Linked DNA regions of Caenorhabditis elegans. The protein of the gene in region 1 purifies or fractionates together with the protein of each later gene. This does not show direct contact. Each region holds a gene or a part of one and is shown on either strand. Other genes may lie near its edges. The genes, in order: rsd-6, C47B2.2 and W07G4.2.

The links.
Region 2: the proteins of rsd-6 (region 1) and C47B2.2 fractionate together in Caenorhabditis elegans (co-fractionation; one large-scale study listed by BioGRID). This does not show direct contact.
Region 3: the proteins of rsd-6 (region 1) and W07G4.2 fractionate together in Caenorhabditis elegans (co-fractionation; one large-scale study listed by BioGRID). This does not show direct contact.

The regions. Positions count from the first base shown.
Region 1 is NC_003279.8:8,357,687-8,366,267, reverse strand, and holds rsd-6 (Tudor domain-containing protein), read left to right. Parts: upstream 1-2,409; 5' UTR 2,410-2,426; coding exon 2,427-2,524; intron 2,525-2,943; coding exon 2,944-3,233; intron 3,234-3,315; coding exon 3,316-3,493; intron 3,494-3,905; coding exon 3,906-4,051; intron 4,052-4,283; coding exon 4,284-4,635; intron 4,636-4,680; coding exon 4,681-4,780; intron 4,781-5,091; coding exon 5,092-5,344; intron 5,345-6,046; coding exon 6,047-6,248; intron 6,249-6,518; coding exon 6,519-6,660; intron 6,661-6,710; coding exon 6,711-6,935; intron 6,936-7,460; coding exon 7,461-7,544; 3' UTR 7,545-8,014; downstream 8,015-8,581. Other genes in the region: tbcd-1 (Tubulin-specific chaperone D), read left to right, coding at 250-365, 413-593, 857-997, 1,048-1,326, 1,505-1,792, 1,850-2,044; tba-5 (Tubulin alpha chain), read right to left, coding at 8,440-8,581.
Region 2 is NC_003279.8:12,960,966-12,966,328, reverse strand, and holds C47B2.2 (Phosphoribosyltransferase domain-containing protein), read left to right. Parts: upstream 1-1,749; 5' UTR 1,750-1,758; coding exon 1,759-1,925; intron 1,926-2,512; coding exon 2,513-2,754; intron 2,755-3,280; coding exon 3,281-3,362; intron 3,363-3,673; coding exon 3,674-3,878; 3' UTR 3,879-4,287; downstream 4,288-5,363. Other genes in the region: tba-2 (Tubulin alpha-2 chain), read left to right, coding at 66-758, 809-1,329, 1,383-1,515; fbxa-140 (F-box domain-containing protein), read left to right, coding at 4,868-4,920, 4,975-5,363.
Region 3 is NC_003283.11:13,034,087-13,038,872, reverse strand, and holds W07G4.2 (L-Fucosyltransferase), read left to right. Parts: upstream 1-2,306; coding exon 2,307-2,391; intron 2,392-2,435; coding exon 2,436-2,481; intron 2,482-2,729; coding exon 2,730-2,806; intron 2,807-2,848; coding exon 2,849-3,009; intron 3,010-3,053; coding exon 3,054-3,170; intron 3,171-3,210; coding exon 3,211-3,317; intron 3,318-3,362; coding exon 3,363-3,463; intron 3,464-3,515; coding exon 3,516-3,695; intron 3,696-3,739; coding exon 3,740-3,834; intron 3,835-3,879; coding exon 3,880-3,978; downstream 3,979-4,786. Other genes in the region: scyl-1 (Protein kinase domain-containing protein), read left to right, coding at 1-117; W07G4.7 (Secretory peptide), read left to right, coding at 4,169-4,295, 4,344-4,468, 4,520-4,606; W07G4.1 (FIP (Fungus-Induced Protein) Related), read right to left, coding at 4,709-4,786.

The DNA.
Region 1 (8,581 bases):
TTAGAGAATTGAAATTGTGAAAAAAAATCGGATTTAAATCAGTGACAGGTACTTTGAAAACTGATTTAGACCATCCATAACCTTTTTTGCGCGCCGAGACCCATTTGAAAGAATCAGTGCGCCTTTAAGAGGAAATGTCAAAATCTAGTGGTATTACAATACCGATGTTGGAAAGTGATATCCAGAAATAGTTCTGGTTATACAAAAAATCTCGTTTTGCAAAATTTTTTTGTAAAAGTAGATTTTCAGATGACAAAATGCTCGGATGAAAGTGAAAGAATCGGAATGGGAATGATTTGTGAATCGTTAAACTCTGAAGCAGTCGATTATGAGATGTTCGAATCGCTTTGCAATACTATTCTGACGTATGTTGTAGCAAACAGAAACTTTTAATTTCAGAAACAAATTGCAGACCAACATCGTCAGATGCAAAGTGGGCACTTGCTAGACAACAAACTGTATTTGCACTTAATCGGATTTCAGTGAATTCATCAACTGAAACATTTAATCGAATTGGGCAAAAATGTTTTGAGACATTGTACAAGGCTATGACAGATTATACAACAAGTGCAAATGGAGATATTGGACGATTTGTGAGTTTGAAAAGAAGGAAAAACTCTTATCTTATTCGTTAATGTTATAATTATAAAAGTACATTAGCGAGATTAAAAGTATTTTGAGCGTTCAGTCCTGGAATTTCCTCCTGATTTTTTTGTACTGTTATATAAAGTTTGAGAATTTTTCAAAAACAATTATAAACGCATATTTTCGAGCTATATAGAGCTATCTTTTAAAGTAGTACAAAATTATCGCTTCCACCATTCTGCGCTACATTCTAATTTTGTGCCTATTTCAGGTTCGGGAAGCCAGTATGCGTGCCATGTCAACAATTTTGGTTGATGCGAAAACGGAGCCACCATTCCTAGATGAACATGTCATCAAATCTGCAAAATATATGGTTCAACAGAGTGCAGAACGAATTTCACGAACTAGAGAGGTACGGCTGCCTTAAAGTTTAGAATATCCACAAAATTTGCTCATTTTCAGTGTGCCTGTGCCTGCCTGAAATCGCTCGTCAAATGCGAAATAACGGGTCGCTGTCTTCCACATATTGATCTTCTCATGAACATTTATTCAGAGCCAATGGATTTTATATCCGATCGAACTGTTTTTCAGTTGAAACCTCTTTTAGATCTTGGATCCGAGTATTATGAACAATTAATATTGGGTATTGTTGTATCAGCAGGTGGATTGGCAGAAGGAACTCAGAAAACTGCAAAGCAATTGCTTTTAGATCATCAAAGAGAAATTTGTGAGAATAAACCGGTGAGTTTTTGTGAAAATAAATAAATCTCTAACATTTCAAAGATGCAACAAAATTTTATGTGATTTTAGAAACTCGTTTGTTTTTATTCACATTGGCAGAGTTTTTTCTGAGTTATCTCAAATTTTGTCTAAACAATTTTTAATGATAATTTAGTTAACTCTATTCGTATTAATTCAGAGATTCGATCATTTTCTATCGACATGTGCTGATCTTTTTCAACGAGCTCGTAAAGTGAACCGAATTGGGAACAGTTTCATGCAAATTCTACCACAAATATTTGGAAATCTTGGAATTTATGAACAATGTCCAGAAACGTCTGAATCAATTATTGAGATGGTGGATACAATGAAAACAATCGCAGTTAGATCATCAATGATGTCACGTCAGAGGCTATCGATTGATTCACTTGGAGAATTGTTGAATTGTGGGAAGAAAAGTACAGTATACAGATCTGCATTAACTATGGTATGTGACAGAAGTCGAGGTTTTTGTCGAACTATAACCCATAATTTCTTTTTTCAGATCCTTGACACTCTTAACAGCCAACAACCAGTTCTTCGTAAATCTGCCGCCGAGAGACTCTACGAGCATCTTTGCTGTGCCGAGGAATCAGATGATGAAGTATTAGAGGTTCTTGCTACAACAAATTGGCAGGATGAAAATGATAATGTACTGAAACAGGCAGTCGCTGGAATTTCAGAAAAATTGATATTTTAATTGTGATCCTATAACGCTTGTTGACATATTTTTCAATTTTATCGCTTCGTCTAGTTTATCTTTTTACTTTTTAATTTTATTCAAATTTTTGATATTTTACCACTCAGAATTTGATACTTCACAGTGATTCGCGTTTCGTCTTCGCCAATTTACAACTGACAGGACAGACACAAAAATCATTCATTGCGTGTTATTTATGCGGCATTTTGGCTCTTATTATCTATTGATCTCATTTTGTGTTCAAACCCAATGAAATATATATATTGCTTGTTTAATTCATAATTTTTTGTTTGTCTAAGAACTGTTTGCAACAGATTCATTATATATTTTTTTTTCATTAATGTTTCCAAAGGACACTTTTTCAGCAGGTTTCTAACTCGACATGAATGAAAAAGAGCTGGCGGATTCTGTTTTTGGAGGTCTCATGGCTAAGGCCATGGGAAAGATGGTACATGAGAGCGAAATCTGCCCTCTTGTCGAGTATGATTTTATTTTTTTTAAATTATTCCGATGCAAAATATTTTGAAAAATGTGCTCTAAAAATACGATTACCTGTCCCGACGCGATCGATTTTATTCAAATATTTTCTAATTACAAAAGAGTGTGCGGCTGTCACTCAAATAAAAGTTTTTTTGGATTCAAAACTTTGGAACAAAAAATAATTTTTTAAAAATTTATCGCTTCTGAACTTGGGCCAATTTTATTTTTGTTTTTCTGTCAGAAAGAACAAAACAGGATATCCCTGTTGATAACGTCAATACTGCTCTTTTGCATAATGAAAAGCAATCGTGTCGAGACCTCGGTCCGTATTTTTAAGACGAAAATCACAAAATTTCCGCATCTGGATAATACCAAAGTTATTGAATCTTTTCTGCAGAAAGGAAATTTGGAATTTTCAGCCAAATCGAAGGAAAAGGTCAAACAAACGAAGAACTGCAAGGATTGAGATTGAGTCTCAGTGATTTGCTCTTACGTCATCCCGATAAGTTCATAAATTGTGGAAATAGAAATTGGAGACTTAATCAAAACAATCATGCTTTCCAACAGTTAGCCGAATCGATTAGTGATAAGAAATCGGGAAAAGGTGGAAAACGTTCGGCGAGAGGTGGATCAAATCTTCCAAGTTTCAATCGAGCACGTAGTGGTGGAATTCCAAGAAATCACAATCAAACGCATGGATTTAGACAAAGTTAGCATTATCCTTAACGGTTTTTTGCAATTATTTTCGGAATAATTATTCTTAATCTATTTGAAATAATGAACTTTTTTAGGTGCACCGGCTCACCGTGGTCATCATCGTCCACCAGCAGGCAATCATGGATCATCATTCCGTCCAAATCTGAATATTTCACAACCTAATCCATCAAATGATTATTCGAAAATGACAGGCCTTCATTATCCTGTTTCCAGAAACGTGCTGGCGTCGAACAACGGCTCGAATAGCAGATTGTAAGCTTTTTTACTGTGGCGGCTCCAGAACTAGCGATCAGAGAATTTTGCAAAGCCGCGGTGCTGTTTTCTTCAGAATTTTATTTTGAAAATCTGTTATTTTCCAGGCGTTTTCTACCTTTTTGTATTTTTTCCTAACGCAGAGAAATTAATTTTTCCAAACGGATTTCCGTATTTTTCGCGTTTTTGGCAAAAAAATTCTTGAAAAAAACGAAAAATTCTTGAAAACTGGCGAACTGACCCCTTAATAAGGATATATATTTCAAAAAAATAAAAATATATATAAATTAAATCTGTACCCCTTCAGAGGTGTTCAAAAATTATCTAAAAAATTCACGTAGTGTCCGTTCTTCTGAAAATTGACTGAGCGTTTCAAAACTCTTCTTATTCGATAAATTTCACAATTTATCAGCTCAAACCAACCACCTCGACGAGAAGATCATCATGAGAAGATGATCATGAGGACACCATATAGAGACCCTTCTCCACGACGCGGAAACAATTATGGAGACATAAGAGGACGTCCAGACTCTCGTGATGGATATAATGGTGATAGAGGTTGGATATTTATTTATTAAATTGTTAACCGAAAAATGATTTCAGTTTTATTTATAATGTTTTCATATCTTCTTAAAATATTTTTAAAAGTGTATTTTACTGAAAATCATAAAAGTCTTCAAACATTTTGTTCATGTCAAAAAATTTATGAAAAATTGAAAAATCCGCAGAAATGGAAGTCTAAAATTACGATACTATTTAAAGGCGCACACTTTTTATTTTAATTTTCCAGATTCGACTCGTTACTCTTCGCCACGCCGCAATGAGCAACCAGGAAGACCGTCTTCTCGTGGATCGAATATTTCCGATTACTCACAATTCTCCAGTGACACAAATGCAGAATCAAATACAGAACGACGTTCTCGTCCAGATGCTTCATCACCTGATCTTGCTGATCTTGCTCGGAGATTCAATTCGTCGTCTATCAATGTACAACCACAACCATTGGAATCAGTAGCCTCTAGTGATGTTTTATCAAAGAAGATTGCAAAGGCCGTTCGGAAGATCATGAAAAAACTAAACGAAGGCGAAAAATTGTCACTGGAAAATTTATTCGACGAAATAGAAAGGAAGAACAAAATTTTGTAAGATTTTTTTGAAATCAACAGATAATAATAAATTTCTTGTAGAATACCTGGAAAGAACGGTAAGGAGAAGGAAGACTTCTTGAAGGATCTCAAGAAAATAATGCCTAAATTGCTTTCCGCTTTGACTATTGACACTGAAACCGTAAGTTTTTCAACGGCTAGCATGAAATTCTAAAAAACTTGATTAAGATCCGAACGAAAATTAGCGTAAAGTGGAAAAATTGCTTAAAAAAATTTTTTTCGTACGAAAATAATAAAATGTGTAGGGCTTTTTGTATAGGGCTTAGGGCGTCTGTTTATAAATTTTACGTTTTTCCAAAAATTCGACAAAAATAAGATTTTCCGAGAAATAGCTCAACATTTTTTAAAAGATTTACATTAAGCGTTACTATTAATGAAAACTCTGGAAACTTTTGGAAATTAATATGATTTTCCAATATAAATATATTTCAGGGCGACCTGACTTGGAACGAGGCAGCAGTTACCACAGATTCACCAATTCATGAATATATGGAAGATGACCTTCATTATTATGTTGTTGATTACGTCAAAATGTTGGATAAGGCTCGATTTAGAGTCACTGATGAAGCTGAAAGATTGTCGAATGCTACTGGAGTCAGAATGGAACGTACTTGTGAAAAACTGACATATGTATTATTCATCACATTCGAAGGAGAATATCGTTATGCGTCGGGGAGTAAGACTGGTAATTCAATTTTATTATTACGAAAACATTAAATTCTGCGAATGCGTATTGCACAGTGTATCTGACGCGCAAAATATCTCGTAGCGAAAACTACAGTAATTATTAAAAATTACTACTGTAGCACGGATGTCGATTTACATGTTCGAAAGTGAATACCGTATTTCCTCTATTAGTCTTGCATGCAAGACTAATTTTCAATCAACCCGTAGGGGTGCAGGACTATTAGAGGCTGCAAGACTAATTTTCGAAAGCCCAATAACTTTGGAAAAGTTACCAAGTTTTGCTGAAAACTTAACTTTATACCGTTTAAGCCATGAATAAGCATTCCTTTTCAATATTTCATAAGTTATTTAATCACTTTCAAGTTCAATTTATCTAAAAATAAAAAATTTTTGAAGTTTCCTCATAGTATAGCTGGCCAGGATAAAACTGGGGTTCAAGACTAATAGAGAAAATACGGTATCTTTTCGAATTGTGACAGCGAAATTTTATTCTCCTGTAATGTTTGTAGTTTTTTGTCAACTGGAGGCTGTTTTAAAATGTTTCATCAATAAATGATAAAAACAATACAAAATCGGACCAGCGCTTCAGTAATCACCTGAAGGATTACTGTAGTTTACGCTACGAGATATTTTGCGCGATACGCATTTTCAGAATTCAGTGTTCCCGTATATGCAAATATCTAAAGAAATTAATTTTCAGAAGTGCTCAAGATTTCAAAAATCACAACTGTCGGCGATGCACCTGAATTCTATCAAACTTCTTTTGAACATAAAATCTTTGAAAATGTACCGGCAAATGCACTTGTCAAGTGTGGAATTGTTCGATATCAAAATGTTCAAAAGTTTGCAGTCCGTCCTGAGGAGTATATAAAACCATATGAAAAGATGAATCAAGAGATTCAGTGAGTTTTACTCTTACTCTTCAAGTACATTATTTTCTGATTAAAACGTTGCTCAACTGTGACTCCCTGAAATTTCGATCGAAAATATTAAAATTAATTGATTTCGCTACTTTCAAGTTATTCCGAGTCGCTCCAAAACTGGACATTCTCAGACTTTTGATGATGTTCAGGAATGGGCTCATATATGTATTTAAAATCATCGAAAATCTACGAAAATCCACTCTTGGAACATCTCTACTTTTAATCAGAATTCAATATTTTTAATTTCAGAGACTTCATGTCTCAAATTCGAAATGAAAAGAGCGTGCCATTTGAAATGTGGAGACCAAATCATGCGTGTTTAGTACAATTGAATGATTCAACAACTATTCTCAAATGGAGTCGTGCCATGATCATAAAAATAGAGACGCAGGTAATAAATAGATTGTATAGGTTTCGATTTTCTCATCCGTTTACTTTCAGCTCATTTTTCTGTTCATTCTGGACAGTGGATTCCGAAAAGTTGTACCAAGTTCCGATTTGAGATTAATGCCGCAAAAGTTTGCAAAACTACCACCATTTGCAATTCCTTGCACTCTCGATGAATCAGAGGATGACAAGGATAATATTGAATTTGGTGGAAAGGAATATTTATCCAATGGTCCTGGAAATCTCAGTGTTACTTGCAGCGGAGCCGCAACAGCCTCTGTAAGGGTTTTTAATCATTTAGGTGTACCATTATTTTTAATAAAATTTCCGTTAAGTTGCCAAAATTTAATTGAGACGTTGGGATTTAGCTTTAAATGAAAGAAAAACAACTTTAATTTTTTGGAAGTACTCCATTAAAAAACAATTTTTTTTCAATTTTGCTAAAATGGAAGAATGTGCCAATTATTGTTCAACTCCGGCGCAAATAAATAAAAAAAAACCTAATTTTGGCTTTTTTGCGTTTTCTGACTAATTCAAAAATAGGCTTAATCGATAGTTTTTTCCTGTAAATTTGAAAAACGGTGTTACAAATTAAATATCGGAGAAAATGTCTAGAATCCCCGATGAATCTATCTAGAAAACGCAAAAATCTCAAAATTAGAGCACTAAAGATTATAATTTTTTACACAATTATATTTTGTCATTACAGTACATTTTCCATCAATTAAAGCAATCCCCACTAGACTGTATACTCCACGTTTGAAACTTTCAAAGAATGGAAAAAATAAATTTTTAAAATTTCAGGACGGGATCCTCACATATCCAATAAAGTTATTCTCTACATGCCACGGTGGACCCTTGACGAATATCAAAGACGTCTTTATCTGAACTTCAAATCATGTTTCTATCTAAATGTTGTCGTAGAAACGGACCGAAACACTCATTTCACAAATTTCTTTACTTTTTTGCCGAAACGATGTTTCAAGACTTCGAGATTTTTTTTGTTTTATGCCCGTTTTCTACTGTTGTGGTGTTATGTACGATCATCTATGATTCCTGTCAAAAATGCAGAATTCCCCCATTTTTTCCCAACTAACGTTTTTCTATTTGTTTTGATCCCATACTTTTCCTTATAGTAGTTTGGAATGTATATCCGAATTTCAGAAATTCCGTCTAAAAGCTGCAACGTTTCTGCCCATCGCTCAACTTGCTTTCTGTTCACCCTTTCACTCTCAAAGGACATTTCGAAACTCCATACCGTTATTCCTTTTCTTAACCCCCTTCTCACACAAATGCTGAGCCCATTGTTCTGACCGTTTTTTCTTCAATTCTTGGAAGTATAAACTTTTTGAGTATTTATTCACATCAAACAATATACATGAGATAACATAAGTAAGAAATATAGAGGTTCTGAGATCAGGTTAAATCGGTAAATCTAGACAAAAATGTAAAGTTCATAATTTCGCAGTTTTCTGAAACGCGTATTTAGAGGCGCACGGATATATTCGGAAAGGTCTGGCCACGAGAAAAGTTAGGAAAGTCCGACTAAAAAACGTTCAGTTCCCGTTTATTCATTTTCCTGTAGTACGTTTCTATAAATATCTCATGTCCAACGTTTTTGTTTTTTGAAAAACGGCCCCGAAAAGATCGAAAAATACAACTATAAACTCTTGTTTCGCGGCGAGATCCATCCAAATGAACCCTTGTGCCTTTAAGAAGGTTTCTCAGAAAATTGCGAAAAATATAATGAATAAAATTGTCTGTCTTAAAATGTTTGAATATCCTAATATTCTTCATCATTTGGATCGAATGAATCAACTCCAACTTCTTCATAATCTTTTTCCAATGCAGCCATATCTTCTCTTGCTTCAGAGAATTCACCTTCTTCCATTCCTTCTCCAACATACCAATGAACAAATGCTCTT
Region 2 (5,363 bases), 4.6 Mb from region 1:
TCGTTCTCATATAACAATTGTCTTTCTCTTTTAAAACTTTATAATTTTCTTTTTCAGAAAAGAAAATGCGTGAGGTCATCTCTATCCACGTCGGACAAGCCGGAGTCCAAATCGGAAACGCCTGCTGGGAGCTCTACTGCCTCGAGCACGGAATCCAGCCCGATGGAACCATGCCAACTCAATCAACGAACGAGGGAGAGTCGTTCACCACTTTCTTCTCAGACACCGGATCCGGCCGTTACGTTCCAAGATCCATCTTCGTCGATCTCGAGCCAACTGTCGTTGACGAGATTCGCACTGGAACCTACAAGAAGCTCTTCCATCCAGAGCAGATGATCACCGGAAAGGAAGACGCCGCTAACAACTACGCTCGTGGACACTACACCGTCGGAAAGGAGCTCATCGACACCGTCCTCGACAGGATCCGTCGTCTCGCTGATAACTGCAGTGGACTCCAAGGATTCTTCGTCTTCCACTCCTTCGGAGGAGGTACCGGATCCGGATTCACTTCGCTTCTTATGGAACGTCTTTCCGTCGACTACGGAAAGAAGTCCAAGCTCGAGTTCTCCATCTACCCAGCTCCACAGGTCTCAACCGCCGTCGTTGAGCCATACAACTCGATCCTCACCACCCATACCACCTTGGAGCACTCCGACTGCGCCTTCATGGTCGATAACGAGGCCATCTACGACATCTGCCGCAGAAACTTGGATGTTGAGCGACCAAGCTACACCAACCTCAACAGAATCATCTCCCAGGTTTGTTGAGCTCAATTTGATTGTTGTATTCTAATGTTCTCTTTTTACAGGTTGTCTCCTCAATCACTGCTTCCTTGAGATTCGATGGAGCCCTCAACGTTGATCTCAACGAGTTCCAGACCAACTTGGTGCCATACCCAAGAATTCACTTCCCATTGGCCGCCTACACTCCACTCATCTCTGCTGAGAAGGCCTACCACGAGGCTCTGTCCGTCAGCGACATCACCAATAGCTGCTTCGAGCCGGCTAACCAGATGGTCAAGTGTGATCCACGTCACGGAAAGTACATGGCTGTGTGCCTCTTGTACAGAGGAGACGTCGTTCCAAAGGACGTTAACACCGCCATCGCTGCAATCAAGACCAAGAGAACCATCCAATTCGTCGATTGGTGCCCAACCGGATTCAAGGTCGGAATCAACTACCAGCCACCAACTGTTGTGCCAGGAGGTGATCTTGCCAAGGTGCCACGCGCCGTCTGCATGCTCTCCAACACTACCGCCATCGCTGAGGCCTGGTCTCGTCTCGACTACAAGTTCGACTTGATGTACGCCAAGCGTGCCTTCGTCCACTGGTATGTTGCCCGTTAAACTATACTTTTCAAATATTCAATGTGTTTCTTTTCAGGTACGTCGGAGAAGGTATGGAGGAAGGAGAGTTCACCGAGGCTCGTGAGGACTTGGCTGCTCTCGAGAAGGACTACGAAGAGGTCGGAGCTGACTCCAACGAGGGAGGAGAAGAGGAGGGAGAGGAGTACTAGATGCTCCCACAATCAACTGCCTGGCGATTGACTTTTAATTTATTACTGCAGTTCGATCGTCATAAACAATGTATTATGAAGTATTTTATTTATATAATGTTTTTTGTTAAAAAGAGAAAGAATGAAAGTCGGAACACTTTACGTTTATACCGAGTTGAGTGCCGCAGAGCAAACATGTACAAGCCGACAGTATTTGAGCAGCAGACGCTTGTTCTGCTCATCGATCAGTATTAGATTACAGAAATGGCTGGGCATGTGAATGGAACATGTGCTCCAGTGATTCCAAAGGTTGGTGATGAGGAAGACGGTGTCGGGCAGTTGGTGGCAAATCTGAAAGAGAAGGGAACAAATTTTGTTCTTTTGAAGAAGACTCCACAGATACTTGAATTGCAGACAATTTTGAAAGATAGGTATGAAGTTTGACTGGGAATAGACTGAAGCCTCAAACATTTTATGGGTGAAAATTTAAAGAAAGGGGCTGAAAACTCATATTTCCAAGCTCTTTTTCCAGATTTTGCGGAAAAATTAACGATTTTCGGTATTTTTGCCGGAAAAACTTGTTGATTTTAAATAAACTCCTTTTTTGCCTTAAAAAGCGATTTTCTTGGAATTTAGATTTTAAAAATCCGTTAATTCACAAATTTTCGGGTCAGAAACGGCATTTTAAGCGATTTTGCCAGTAAATTAGGAGAAAAATAGAAAACGTTTTCATTTTTTGGCCTTTTTGCCGTGAAATTAACTGAAATTTTGATTAAAAAACGTTTTTTTTTGTTAGAAAACATGAATATATTTATTTATATAAATGAATTTTTCAAGGATTTTCTCGGATTTTGAGTCAAAATTCCGATATTTTCATAAATTTCCGGGTCCGAAACGGTATTTTTCGTGATTTCCTCGCAATTTTAGAAGTTTTCCTTGTAAAAATTGGTTGAGGCTCAGAGAATCTTGTAGTTTGTAGTTTGTAGCCCCATAGCCTCAACCATCTTCCAATTTCCAGATCAACAAATCACTCGGATTTCGTATTCAACGCGGATCGTCTGATGCGGCTTGTAATTGAAGAATGTCTCAATCATCTTCCATTCACTGAGCACACAGTTACCACACCAACAGGCTTCAAATATGAAGGAATTCAATTTAATCGTGGAAATTGTGGAGTATCGTTGTGTAGAAGTGGAGAGGCGATGGAAGTTTCATTGAGACAGTGTTGTCGGTGTATTCGAATTGGAAAAATTCTGATTGGTACGGGAAATTGAGGATATCGAGAGGAATTTGGGAAATTTCCTAGAAAAGGCGAAGAAAATTGAGAAATATAGAAGAAAATGGCGAAAAATCACCAAAATCATTGCGATTTTCATCAATTTCTCCCTGAAATTACCTGGAATCTCTTATAAATGCAGATTTCTGCTTGAAAAATGGAAAAATCTGGTGAATATCCAGTTTTTATAGATTTTCTCCTGAATACCCCTCAAAATCTGTGAAAAGTCTGACTTTTCCTTCAAAAATACCTCTAATTCGTAGAGAAACTCGTTTTTTCAGCCGAAAAATGTTTTTTTTTTTAAATCTGTAATAAATATGTACTGTTCTTATGGTAAAATTCCTGAAAAATATATTAAAAATATATATAATAGTAAAATTTGCGTTTTTACCCAGAAAAGTGGTAGAAATCGTGAGTTTTACTGAGTTTGTCGAAAACTGGCGATACTTTTTTAAAAGAAAAACCTCAAAACTCGCAAAATTTCCAATTTTCATCCACTTTTTGTTACAGGCGACGAACAAAAAGTGCTCTACGCCAGGCTTCTTCCGGATATCACGTCGCGTCGAGTTCTACTGCTCTACCCAACGATAGGGTACGCTCAGAGACTACAAACTACAAAAAATATCTGGCCGAAATAAATTTGATTGAAAAATCTGAGAAAAAAAACACAAAATTTAATGTCAAAAAATCGATTTTCCCGGCGAAAAATCGTAAAATTCAATAATTTGTTTGACGTAGAAACTTTAAAAATGTCGATCACTAAAACTTCCCCAGAAGGCGAAAAATTGTCTAAAAAATTGAGTTTTTTTTTGTGCAAAAAAAATCTTTTTTTGAAATTTTTTTAACTGAAGAAACATTTAAATTTAAAAAATCACATTTTTATCAAAATTTCCAATTTTTCAGATCTGGGACGACAGTTTGCAAGGCAATTGAAGTCCTAAAAGAGGCACGTGTCCCAGATGAGAATATCTACTTGGTTTCCCTATTCATCTCACCGACTGGACTCAAGAATATAACCAGAAAGTACCCGTATATCACTGTCGTCGCCTCCGATATCACATCTCTCTATCCAAATCATTTCTCAACCAGCTATTTTGGTGCTGTCTAGACTAGTTTTGTGTAGTTTGTAGCCTTTTGACACTACAAACTACATCGTTTCCGTTTCAAATGCAGTATTTTTATTCACTTTTCTCACTTGATCATCTCTTCATTTCTCGTTATTGGTTTGTAGTTTGTAGTTATTGTAGTCTTCTTTTTTACTTTTTCACTGTTGATTTCCCCTATTTTTTTTTGACAAAATGTTCATTGAATTTCCGCATAACTAAATTCTTTTGTGTTGTTTTCGGTTCATTAAACATTATTTTAAGATGCAATGACTACGGTAGTCATTTTCTGAGTACATGGTGTGCGTACAGGGCGCTATATTTTACGCGCAAAGTTGAGAGTGAGATTTTTCCTCATTTTTTGGATTTTCACTGCAAATTTAAGAAATTTTACGAAAATAAACGTTTTATTTCAAATTCTATTTGCTACTTTGCATGCAAATTGTTTTTTTTTCATTATATTCTGAAAATAAAATAAGTTAAAATTAGCCGTTTCAAAAAAAGTTTCCGAAACTACGGTAGTTCTCGGAGTACGCAACTTGCGTACCGGGCATCTCATTTGACGCACAGAATTCCTAGTTTATTGTTTTTGGATTTTCAAAATTTCAAACATAGTTTTTGCATTTTTCCTGTCGTTTTTGTGATTTTTATTTGTGAAAATTTATTAGACAGAAAAGAAATTTTCAGTTTTCACGAAATTTACTGGAAAATTTGTTATTTTACCGTTAGGTAACGTATTTTACAAAGATATTTCACTTTATCCGTATTTTCTTATTGTTTTCTTCACTTCAAACGATTGAAAACTGAATCAATCAAATAAATTTCCTATTTTTCAGGTAATTTGTCAAAATGACTGGCTCATCTCGTGGAATTGTCGAAATGACAAAGAAACTGGATCGATTAAATTGTTAGTGTTAAAATGAAATTTGCATCGGATTCAGTTTAAAATTTGCTTATTTTCAGATCGAAGAAAAGACCACTTACGCTTTTAAGCATGCCAGTTGATGTTATGGAGAAAGTTATGAAGAAAGTGGATCCATACGATTGGTATCAAATTTTGAATGTTAGGCAAATGTTAAAAAAAAACCAAATGAGTTTCAGGATTTCCGTCCGCAATTCCAATCGAAATCTTCGAGATTTCGTCGACAGCCAGCACCTCAAATTGGACATTGATGTTTCTATTGAGGGCACTTTTCACACCATTGATATCAATGGAAATCAATCCTTCGGACCTTTCCATCCGGTCGTGGCTGATGATGAAAGAAGAACCATCTACAATAAAAGACTACAGTTTGCTCTCAGAAAATTGTTCGTGGTTATGAAGCTTCCAAGTGCCCAAATTGAAGAGTTCAAACTGGATTTTGACTTTATGGGAAGAGGAAGTGACGAATTTGAAGATATCTACGATATTGGTTCCAGAAGAGTTAGTTTTAAAAATAAACTGTTGAGTGCAAGCCTGAGAACAATCGATAAGGAGTTTGGAGAGTTTC
Region 3 (4,786 bases), on another chromosome or scaffold:
GAGATGCAGGCTAGAAATGAAGCTCGTCGCAAAGAACAAATGGATCGCAAAAAATCTGCCGGAGCAATGAAATTGGCATCTGTAGAAAAGAAAATGGACGATTTTGCTGACTGGTAACAAGAAACTCGCTTCGTTTTGTAGTAGAGATCACCCTACTTGTATTTCACATTTTTGTAATTAAAACTGTTTTATTCGACCCCATTTGTATCAAATCCTAACAAGGGAAGTCTTTGAGGAGGTCCGTAGATTTGGGGTTCTCATGCTAAAATTCCTACAGAAGAGTGTTAGTTATGATCTCTCCAAAAAATTTAGCTGCCCCGGTCAAGTTTCAGCAAAGTTATGACGTTTTGAAATTTCAGTTAAAAACACCATTGAAATCCACTGTCTTACCATGCAATCCACGCAAATCTCAGCTTGCGTGACCACCGAAAATGTGACACCCACCACATTGAGTTGAAAAATGTCCTCGGTGGCCGAGTTGGGAGTGCGCGCGTCTGATAAGATTTAGGCTTTGGTTCGATTCCTTCTATTTTTGAAATATTTTTGTAAGTTGAATAAAGTTTTAAACAACCTATTCAAACATTTTTGCGCCTTTTTAAAGTGATTTTATTCTTATTCGGGAACCTAGAATCATTGTCCGCACTTTTTGGAAATTTTTATTTTTTTCATTTTTGCTCAAAATTTCTTGATCAACTCCAAGCAAAAAAATCAAAAAATTTCATTTTTCTAAACAATTATGAAATTGCTATGTTGTTGTTCAGAAATGTATGAAACGTACATTACACAAGTTTTAACTCTCTATTCGCAAGTAAACCGTCGAAATGATCTACATCTCACGAACTTTGTGCAAAATATTTAACCAACTTTGAAGTTGCATAACTTCGTTGAGATAAATTATTGTGAAAAATGATCAACTAACAAAATGTTTGTTGAATAACAGTGAACAAAGTTTTAGTTATAAACTTTTTGATACCTTCAGCCACCAAAAAGTTGTGACCGTTTTCCAAAACACAATGTTAATAGAAAAACTAGCCAAATGCCAACCTTGTTTTCTTCTTTGTAGCTGGAGGTATCAAAAAGTTTATAACTAAAACTTTGTTCACTGTTATTCAACAAACATTTTGTTAGTTGATCATTTTTCACAATAATTTATCTCAATGAAGTTATGCAACTTCAAAGTTGGTTAAATATTTTGCACAAAGTTCGTGAGATGTAGATCATTTCGACGGTTTACTTGCGAATAGAGAGTTAAAACTTGTGTAATGTACGTTTCATACATTTCTGAACAACAACATAGCAATTTCATAATTGTTTAGAAAAATGAAATTTTTTGATTTTTTTGCTTGGAGTTGATCAAGAAATTTTGAGCAAAAATGAAAAAAATAAAAATTTCCAAAAAGTGCGGACAATGATTCTAGGTTCCCGAATAAGAATAAAATCACTTTAAAAATGCGCAAAAATGTTTGAATGAGTTGTTTTACAACTTTATTCAACTTACAAAAATAGAAGGAATCGAACCAAAGCTTAAATCTTATCAGACGCGCGCACTCCCAACTCGGCCACCGAGGACATTTTTCAACTCAATGTTGTGGGTGTCACATTTTCGGTGGTCACGCAAGCTGAGATTTGCGTGGACTGCATGGTAAGACAGTGGATTTCAATGGTGTTTTTAACTGAATTTTCAAAACGTCATAACTTTGCTGAAACTTGACCGGGGCAGCTAAATTTTTTGGAGAGATCATAACTAACACTCTTCTGTAGGAATTTTAGCATGAGAACCCCAAATCTACGGACCCCCTCAAAGACTTCCCTTGTAAGTACATCAAACAATTTCCTGTGATTCTATCCATTAACGTATTCTATTCATGTTTTTCTTTCTTTTTCTCATTTCCTTCGCTTCCAAACAAAAATTGCTCGCATTTCATGTTCTTTCTTTTCAAAAAAATTATGATGGTTAAAATAAAACTTTAAAAAATGTACACTTGGTTTTACTATTGAATCGTCGGACCCATGCTGTGTTGCTGTGGTGCAAAAGGTAATTTTTGACACTAACAAAAGTTTAGGCAAGTAGGTAGGCATGAGATAGGCTCGTAGGCAAATATGGGAAGGTACGTAGGCAGACTTGAGGTATGTTTGAAAACAAAATTACACTTGATGTTCTTTTGGGACAAAAATGTGCAGCCCATACATGTTGGACTCATGCTGTGATTCGATGTATTGGAAAGGGATCACATCAATTACGAAACATCGAAACATGCATTTTGTAACTACTCCTGTTTCATCTCTTCTTCTTTCAGCTTTACTAAATGACCGAAATTCAACCACCAACACCCTCACTTCTTACGAAAATGTTCAAAACTCGGTTATTTGTAATTTTTCTGATATTAACTGGTAGGGTAATAGGAACATTCAAAAGTTCAAACTTCCAATTACAGTAATAATTCTATCTACAAATGTTTGCAATAGAACTACGTTACCAATGTAAGTCCAAACACCGATAATTATTTCAAGACACAATAAAAAAAGACATAAATATAGGTAGGCTTGAGGTAGGCACATAGACAGATAAGAGGTATGTAGAGGGGCAGGGAAGCGCTTGGTGCGTAGATAAAGTGGGAAGGTTTGAAGTAGGCATGAGGCGGAAGCGTACTACCGAATAGGTGTTTGTCTATTTAACCCAGAAATTTGGCCTTATTCTATAAAACTGTAGACATTTTCAAATGTTTCAGAACTTCAGAGTATTTCACCAATTCTAATAAAAACAAGAAATATCTTTCAAGCAGGCTCGCAGCAGGAATGAGATTAGGTATTTGAAAAAAATCATAAAATTTAAAGAAATAAGTTTCAGGAAATCACATTTTTGAAATGGCTGCTTTATTGGGAATGTCAAGGCAGCTACATCGTAAATCCTTGTTCTTTGTGGAAGATAAAACTTATTTGAATATGTTGAACAAAGTGAAAGAAGCTATTCCTGGATTGATAGATCAATTTGAAATTGTTTATGGAACGGTTTGTTTAAAAATAATATATAGTTGAATTTGAAAATTGTTAAGGTTCCACCACCAACACAATTCATCAACTTCAATTCACGATGTTGTGTCTACGTGGAACCAACGATTCTTGAAAATAATGAAGATCAGTATTTACATTTAGCTGGATACTATTATCAGGTTCTAATGACATTATTGCTATTATAAATCTAAAATTTAGTCTTGGAAGTATTTCCCTTCAATGCAACATGAACTAATCAAATATTTGAAGCCAAATGTAAAAAGTGAATTCGGAAAGTTGCCAAGATCAAAAAATAACTCCTACATGTTAGTTTCCGCTCAACTTTTTATCGTAGATTAAACACTTATTAGAATTTGTGCACACACACGAAGAGGAGACTTTGTATGGGGTGATTTTGCTGCATCGGATCCGACTTTTGTCAGACGGGCGGTTGAGTTTATTGAAAAGAAAAGTATATAATTTTTGAAAAAAATCATTTAAAAAACAACTGAAACATTTTTTAGAAGCCCTAGAAAATTTAAAATCTCGCATTGTCTTATTTGGAGATGATTTCAAGTTTATGAAATCCATTTTCAAATATTCGATTCTCCAAGGTTCAAACACAAGACACTTCATATCTCATAACTCTCCATCCGATGATTTGATTTATTCAAGAGATCACTGTGATACGGTTTTAATAAGTGGTATGAATTAAATATCAAATTGAAATTGTATACATATGATTCAGCTCCTCACTCAACATTTGGCTGGTGGATGGGATATTTCTCTAAAGGAAATGAGGTTTTCTATATGGATATAAGAGAAACCAATGATTTCAGTTTTGTCAGTAAATAGCCGTACATGAAACTATAACATGTAAAATTTCAGAGAATTGGAGAGCTGAGCCCATATGATTATTTTATGCCGAATTGGACACCACTAAAGTTTTCTTGTGATAATTTAACGATTGTTGAAAGTGTCAGATAGTTTTGAAAAGTTTTTTCTATCCGAAAGTTTAGCTTTACAAATCCCAGAACTTCACCGCATTTTCCACTTCAATGAATCGTTTACAATATGAAGCTTGACAGTTGTTATGACCATTAGAGTAGACTAAATTGACCTAATTTCTACTAACTTGTAATATAAAAAGGAAAACAGCTAGAAAGTATTCATAAAAATGAAATTCGTTCTACTTTTGGTATCACTTTTTGGAATTGCAAAATGTCGATTAATGTGTGGAATTGATCCAATTCTAACAAATTGGATGGAGATTTCGATCAAATTGGACTGTCCCGCCATTTTAGGTAAGTGATCAGCAAGAGTGAACCCTTGTAAGTGAGCAATATTTTCAGAACAACATCGAACTTGTTGCCTCGCCCATGGTTGGTGTTATGTATATAAAAAGGCAACAATGGAAGCATGTAATAATGAATATTGTCGTTGTGTTAGTGTTCTCGCAAATGAAGGTGTTTGTAAGGTACTATCAACTGAACTATCTTCAACTTTAAAACTAAGTTAATGTTTTCAGACTCATTCTGATAACTTCTGTATGAATGTGAGAAACATGGGACCAATGCTCTGGCCGACAATCAATGAAAATGGAATGGCTTTTTGAGTTTTTCTTGATAATGTTGGAAGTTATAACAATTCAATGTAATAAAATAATTTATTTGAAAATTGTATTAGTTTTGCAATAATAATAATTAGCCGATGTCATCTAAACTCGATTCCATCCTCCATTGTTTCCCCAGTGATTTTGCTGATAGTTGAATCCACTTTGCTGTCCGCTAATTTC